2 linked regions of the Xenopus tropicalis genome follow. The protein of the gene in region 1 purifies or fractionates together with the protein of each later gene. This does not show direct contact. Links are inferred from orthologs where the notes say so. Each region holds a gene or a part of one and is shown on either strand. Other genes may lie near its edges.

Region 1 (3,500 bases):
TTTTTTTACAACAAAGTAGTGCAGTTAGCAATATTCTTACATGTAACTGTTATCCTTATTTATTTATTAATTCCCCATTTTCCCCCTCTCTATGCAGTTGGCAGGCCTGGCAGTAATGGCCGTGGGGATCTGGACACTCATTCAGAAAAGCGATTACATTAGTCTTCTGCCTTCCAACACCTATGCAGCCACTGCCTACATTCTGGTCATTGCTGGAGCCATCGTTATGATAACGGGCATCCTGGGATGTTGTGCCACCTTTAAGGAGAGAAAAAGCCTGCTCAAAGTGGTGAGTTGTCACTTTATCAGTCATTGGGTGTGTATGCTTGGGCGGCTTTATGGAATATAGCGAAGTATAATATATTATAAAATCCCTTATATACATTATCATGGTTTTCATTGCTTATTTTGTTACTCATAGCTCTTTGAGCAAGCTTTGATTAGTTGTAAGCTCTTGTGAGCAAGGGTGTGTCTTACTTGTCTGTCATAGAATGCACTTCTTCATATCATGCAATTCTTTAGGGACTTTCTTAATCAATAGTAGCTGGGTATCTGGTTTTGCTGTATACAGACCAGTCACTTAGTAGCTGCAGCCATGTACAATGCCTTATATTTAAGTTTTGGAAATTCACAAGAGGTAAATGCTCTTTATGATAGTAGCTTCTCTGTAGCTTGTACGTAATGGGTCTTTGGGCTAGTCTACCCATCCCTGTAATGCTGGTGTAATGTTAGGAATGCTGGTGGTGTGCGGATCTCTCTCCAGCATGCACTCCTCCCTAAAACTTGCCTGTAACTCTTTCATTACCCCATCTCTTTAATGGCATCCAGTAACAAGCACAGGCTGCTGCCATCTGTTGGTAACATGATAAACTACAGTCTCAAAATGCACATAATGAAAGCTTGTCTTGCTTAGCTAATAAAGCAGGCATACATTTGGTCGCGATTGGTGCAGTTTGGGAGCTGTAGCTTAAAAAATTCACAGCTATCACATCAAGATATAATTATTATGAGCAGCTCAAAGGTTAAGGGCACATGGCAGAAACCTTACAACAACCCCTTAATGAAGGTGTATATGCTAAAACTTTAGGATGTCTGTCACTTGTTGCTGTCTTCTAACATATTTAGCTGCTGGTCTGTATCACTGACTGGGTTTCCCACCACACTGGGTATTAAGTCTGTTTTTTAGTTTGTTTGTTAACTTTGAGAAAAGCTGCAGGAGTAGCCGAAACGTCAGTTCTTCGTTTTTTTCACTTAAAAAACTACTAAAATTCATGATAAGACCTGTGTGACGCGGCCCCTTTTTTGATTGACTTTGAGAAAGGCTGAGGTGTTCAGCCGAAACGTTAGTCCACCATCACATTAAAGGAATCTTTATTTTTTATCTAAGTCCTGTGAGAGCGGTTTCGTCATTTTCGATTTTGTTTCCTGTTTTTTGAGGCTGCACCCAGGCAGTTTATGTGCTTTAAATGTGAGTGCCAGTGGTTTCCATTCTTGTTTATATATATATTAATATATATATATATATATATATATATATTAATAAATATATATATATATATATAAAATCCTTATCTTATGGCGCAACTTTTTTGGGGAAAAAATTTGAAATTTTAATGTAATTAAACTTTTTTTTTTTTTGGTTTTCAGTATTTCATCTTGTTGCTGTGCATCTTTATCCTAGAGGTCCTGGCAGGAATCCTGGCCTATATTTACTACCAGCAGGTAAGCAGCTGCTAAGTGCACACATGCCGGGAAAGGTAGCACAAAGGGGAATGGAATGGAAACTTGCTAGTATTTAGACAGGCAGACCCACTCCCAACTCGCATCTGCAACCAAACTTGGACCTGCTTTTAACTACTACTAAGGTTGAACTTGATAGACGTATGTCTTTTTTTTTAACCTAACTTACTATGTTACTTGCCATAATCCCTACTGCATAATGTAACCCATGGATGTGGCATCACTATAACCAGGACGTGACGTCACTGTGGGATGCAGCTTGCCATGCCACCCTTAAGTGATGTTACCTTACCTCAGAAGTGATAAGTGATGATTTATTAAACAAAAAAAACAGGTGGAATAATTTACTGATTGAGGTCTAGGTGCCCAAGCAAGATCATTTGATTGGGACTTTTCATGTATTCTGAGGGTATCCTACCCAGTCTAATGTAAGGGACTTAGTGGTAATGGACCTTAGGGGGCCTTATGCAATTTGATCTTGAGATATATTGAGTAAAATGCTGATAACCGCACCAAGGCAGTACAGTGTTGAAGGCATAAGGGATTCTCAGCGGAAGTTCCTATTTTAGGGAAACTGTTGTAGTACAAACTCCATATATAGACTTAACTTTAACTATGACAATAATATCTTTAAAGAATAGGTCTGCCATTTGCTGGTTTGTACGTGGCAATGTAACAGATTTTATTCTCTCAGTGGGTCAATTGTGAGCTGGGGATTATTCCAGTTGTAGACTAAAACAAACCTATTTACTCCCTAAGTCTGTTAGCCTAACACCCCTCATTGAGGTCTATTGGTTTCAACCCCTTAGCGCAAGGTTGCAAAATTACTTTTGCTAAATATTAGCAAGTTTGTAATTATTACAAGATATGGGCACTGCAGGGCTAGAAGAGAATTTACCTGTATACTGGTGCCCAGCAGGTTGAGTCCTTGGAACGCTCTCACATTATGGATTCACTTTGAAACAATAAGGAGTTTTAAAATACTGACCCCATTTCTATTTGCTTGTTAGGGCCACTGTACCTAGGTGGTGGCACATTTTAGGGTGAAGGACATTTCCTAACCTCATGGATCCCCAAAACCTTTCTCTCCCTTAATGCTTAGTGCTTTTTGTGCCTGGCTTTGACAGATACAGCTGCCTCAGATTCCTGTCGTGCATGGGTGGTGTGTATCACCCTTTCTTTAGGAGGATAAGTACGGATATGCCAAGTATACTAGTGCTTTTAGCTAATCTAATCTGTATTTAATTACACTCTACCCTGCAGGCATTTAAAGGCAAGAAAATGTCTTGGTGCAGTGGGAAAGATTATAAACTTGGCAGCAGATCACTTACCAACAGGGTTTTCTTAATTACATGGAAAGCATATTCTCTGTCCAAAATCGCATCATGTGTTAACGTCACCATTTTCATGGGAAAGGAGAGGAATTTCTGATATCATTCCAATAATTTTTAAAAGATGTGCCCATCCCACTCTGGCACCAAGGATAATTCCATGGTTGAAAAATACTAAATTACTAGGCGTATTTTACTCTAGAATTACACCAACCAGCAATTCATTCAGTTGCAGTAAGACTAATACAAGCAGCAGTCTGATTGGTTGCTATAGGTAACTATTTTGGAGAAAAATTTATTAGATTCAAATTAGATACACTTTCAACAGAATTTGAATGAATCCCCAAAATAAACACTTGGCATTTCTGGGTTCAAACGATGTTTTCTTACTGAATCAGTCGAAGTTCCAAGCACCGGTTCAGTATCCCT
Region 2 (4,124 bases), on another chromosome or scaffold:
TGACTCTTTCCAGCTTTCAAATGGGGGTCGCTGACCCCAGCAGGTAAAAATTAAACTGTAGCCCCACAGAGCAATAGTTTGTTATTGTTTTATTACTTATCTTTCTATTAAGGCCCTCCTATAATCCCCTCTCTCTTTCAAACCACTGCCTGGTTTCTAGTTTAAATTGGACCCTGGCAACCAGGTAGATGCTAAAATTCAACACTGAAGATCTGCTGAACGAAAATAAAAAACAGAGACCAATGCAAGACCAACTGCAAATTACCTTAGAATAGCACTATGCTAAAAGAAAAAAACGTATGTATTTGTAGTTGATAACCCTAACAAAACATGCTGCCCACAGATGGGGAGACAATTCCAGATAATTAACTTATAAATCACTGTGACAAATCTCTTTCTCTGACACAAACCTATATTAGGGAATATTCTCAGTAGCACCATCTTGATTAGATGTATACAGGTTTGATCTTGGGTTAACCAGCACAGCTCATATTAGAGCTTAGACAGGGTCTAGGGGGGGGTCACTTTACCACTTTTAAGCTGGCCATACACGGTAAGATCCACTCTATGGCGAGGTCACCAATCAAACGTATCTTCTCCAAATACACTCACCTATGGGTGAGCAATATCAGGCGAATTCAAATTAAAACAGGGGCCACATCAACGAGCCAATGTGGTTCCCGATACGACGGAAAAATCAAACCTGCCCAGTCAACATCTGGCCTGAAATTGGCCAAATCTCGGTCGGGCAGACCCATTGTTCGTGCCCACACACTGGCAGATAAAATCTGCCCGGTATGGCCTCCTCTACTCACAAGGGAAATGCCTTCTAGATATATGCAAATCGCAGTGAAATGTGAATTGCGCACAAAAATTCGCAAATGAGACTGCGATTTGCCCTCTGTGCCCATTTATTATGAATAAATATAGCGCGGACACAGACTGCGCGCATAAACATTCGCAATTTACGAATATGCCATATTTAAAAAACTTGAAGGGCATTTGCACTGTGAATAAAAATTTCGCAATTATATTTGCCCATTAAACGCACCAGTCTTGTCCAGCTTTATAAATATAAATACAGGTAGAGTAAATACGTTCACTGTGTGAATAATTCTGCACTGTGCAAATTTTATAAATGACCCTCAGTGCCTAGATACAACTACGGAGTCACTTGGGACCTATGAACAATGTGCAGGTCACATCAAGGTGCAAATAAGGTGCTGGTGGCACAGGGAGTGCTGATTTGCACCTTGTGTGCACAGCTGCTCAAAGCCAATAAGCCCCAGTGTGGCTTTACACTCCTACTGGGCGGAAATGGTAATTGTTGTCCTTTCAGCTAAATTGAAGTGTAGTATCTGTAAAGAGAATGTGGCTGCTCCTCTATATAATCCAGACTACCCTGATCCTCTGCACAAAGGGCCCTGCCTGCCCGGGGTGGCAGATAATCATAGGAAAAGTGGGACACTGAGTTTCATAAAAGCTCTTTTATGAATTTATATTTGAATCTTCACCATGCAGGAAAAGGTGATATACTGTGTTAGCCAGTCAAAATGTTTATAAGGGTAACCCTTTAGAAATAAAAGTGGTATAAAGGCGATACCTTTATTGGCTAACTAAGATAATCACAGCAAGCTTTCAGAACATTTTAGTTCCTTTGTCATACTGATTACCTCACCATTAATCTCATAAGGTTCCCAGCACAGATTTAGGCTCTGTTACCCACCCTTGAACCCGGCCCTGCCAAGAATACGTTTTGGGACTCATCCACCCTCGGAAGCCTCTGGGCTAAAACGCTGCTCGGGCTTCAATAAAAAAAGCCACATACAAGCACCCACTCATAACTCAATATAAGTGCCCTCAGTGTCAGCCAAACCATTATTCGTGCCTGGGGGCCGCCTTCTCTTAGGAGACTCTGTTAGGAGCCAGCAGCCAAATGAAGCAGTGCTATATTGTACTTATAGTGACCGTGGCACAACTACCCTGCGCCCTACTGAACACACAGGGAAAGGGGACAGCGTGGGCCGGCTGAGCCCTGGTTAATAATATCTATGGTTATGGTAATGATCTACTGTTAAAAATAAAGAGAGAAAGAAGGAGACTGCCCCCCCTTCACCCCTCCCAGGATGTCCTCTGCCGCCTCCCTCTGTGCACATTCCTGCAGGGAAACTCCCTGCTGTCTCTATGGGGGGGGGGGTACATACAGTCCCAGCCAGACACCCAATTCACTTACACAGAGCCCCCTACACACATGATCATGTAATTAGCGCAGTAACTAAGGAGGGAGAGCGCTGCAGCCCTGGAAGGGTGGGATCCCACAACAAGGAAAGTTTATAGGAAGCTGCCCCTAAGCAAGGTCACCCCCTCCCCCAGTCTCTATTAACCCTCTACCTACTGAAGCACAAACTCCACAATGGAAAAACTCCAGGTGGCATGTACTACAAGTCCCACAATCCCCTGCGAGTGAATGCAGTAGTTCCCAGCAGCTGTAGAGCCCCAAGTCTGCCCCCCTGTACCTATCACTGACAAACAATACAACTCCCGGCGTGCAAAGTAGCTGCTACACGTCCCGGCTTCTCTAAGCCATATGGATTCCCCACAGGGAGGCAGATACGGAGCAGCAATGCCCTAAGCACAGACTGTACCAAGTGAGCGGACACTGGGGCCAGAATGCAGGTAACACAGAGCGGCGGCTCACCTTTGGCGTGGGGCCCTTGGATCCCAGGAGCGGCGCCCTGCCGGGCTGAATCGCACAGACTAAGCGCTGCCTCAGATTGCGGCCTCCGAGCCCAGGCAGGTCTGCGCGCTGAATGAAGTGTCCGCTCTCAGTAACGGTCCCCTCCCGAGTAGCACCCAGCCTGCGCTGACGCACCACAAGCGCGCCCCCGCACTCACACGGACGCGCACAGCCAGAGCAAGAAGCGCCGCAGGAAGCGCATTCCAGCCCGGTGACGTCAGGATGTGGGAGGGCGGGACTGGCTACGTGGGAATGGGGGGGGATGGGGGCAGGGGCTCCCACATGGCCACTGTGTAGTGGCGGCTATTGCCCCATACTGTCTGATTAGTAGCACTGGGATCGCTTCCCGATATCTGGCACAGCTTGGCACCAGTACCACAGCTCAATAGGCATACACTCCAGGGGATAAGCTTTGCTTGTAGTACAGTACAGTTTATTGGTACCACATGGTTTGATGGCAGTCAGTAGCTGAAAGCAGTTTGTATGTTGTTGGGCGCTTCTACTGATTCTTGTTTCATTCTTCAGGCCACAGGCGAGCAATCCCCAGGGTAGGGTTCATCTGCCTGAAGGGTTGCCACCTTTTCTGGAAAAAAATACCAGCCTTCCAATATTTTTATTTATATCTATTTATAACATTGACATGAAGCCTAATTTTTACCAGTCAGGCAAGTGTGGCAATAATATCTGTGTGCCGCCGTATTCTAATGGTACCCCAGCATCAGGCCCTGGCATTTCAGGTACGCAAAGGCCAAAGTAGCACCCCCACCGGGCCAATAAGTAGTGACTGTCTATGCCAGCGGTTCCCAACCAGTGGCTCTTTAGCAACATGTTGCTCCCCAACCCCTTGGATGTTGCTCCCAGTGGCTTCAAAGCAGCTGCTTATTTTTGAGTTTCTGGTAAGGAGGCAAGTTTTGGTTGCATAAAAACCCAGTATAATGCCAAACAGAGCCTTCTGTAGGCTGCCAGTCCACATAGGGGCTATTAAGTAGCCAATTATAGCTCTTATTGGCACCCCCAGGGACCATTTCCATGCTTGTGTTGCTCCCCAACACTTTTTCCACTTGAATGTGGCTCACAGGTATAAAAGGTTGGGGATCCATGGTCTATGGCAGTGCTGTCCAACTGGCGGCCCGCGACCCCCCTCTGTGTGGCCCCCATCTGTCTGGCTGCTTTGATGGTTTACCTTTGAGTAAGCATTAAATGGTATCAGTACTGAGATTAACTGGCCCCCTGCATGGTTCTCACCTCAGATTCAGGCTGTAATCCCTCTGTATTGTTTAAAAATTTAATCCCCTGTGTTTTTCACACCTTTTAATACCTGCATGGTTCACCCCCTGCAGTGTTCACACCTCAGGCTCAGGCTGTAATCACTCCCATTGTTCACTTC

What was found. The genes of interacting proteins can lie anywhere in the genome.
Region 2: the proteins of cd151 (region 1) and itgb1 purify together in Homo sapiens (affinity purification with western blotting; 4 studies listed by BioGRID and IntAct, with this or other methods). This does not show direct contact. The link is inferred for Xenopus tropicalis from reciprocal best matches to the Homo sapiens genes CD151 and ITGB1.

What each region holds. Positions count from the first base shown.
Region 1 is NC_030680.2:31,257,974-31,261,473, reverse strand, and holds part of cd151 (CD151 antigen), read left to right. Parts: intron 1-97; coding exon 98-289; intron 290-1,647; coding exon 1,648-1,722; intron 1,723-3,500. UniProt on the Homo sapiens protein: Structural component of specialized membrane microdomains known as tetraspanin-enriched microdomains (TERMs), which act as platforms for receptor clustering and signaling.
Region 2 is NC_030682.2:22,870,724-22,874,847, reverse strand, and holds the start of itgb1 (integrin beta-1 precursor), read right to left. Parts: upstream 2,801-4,124; 5' UTR 2,699-2,800; intron 1-2,698.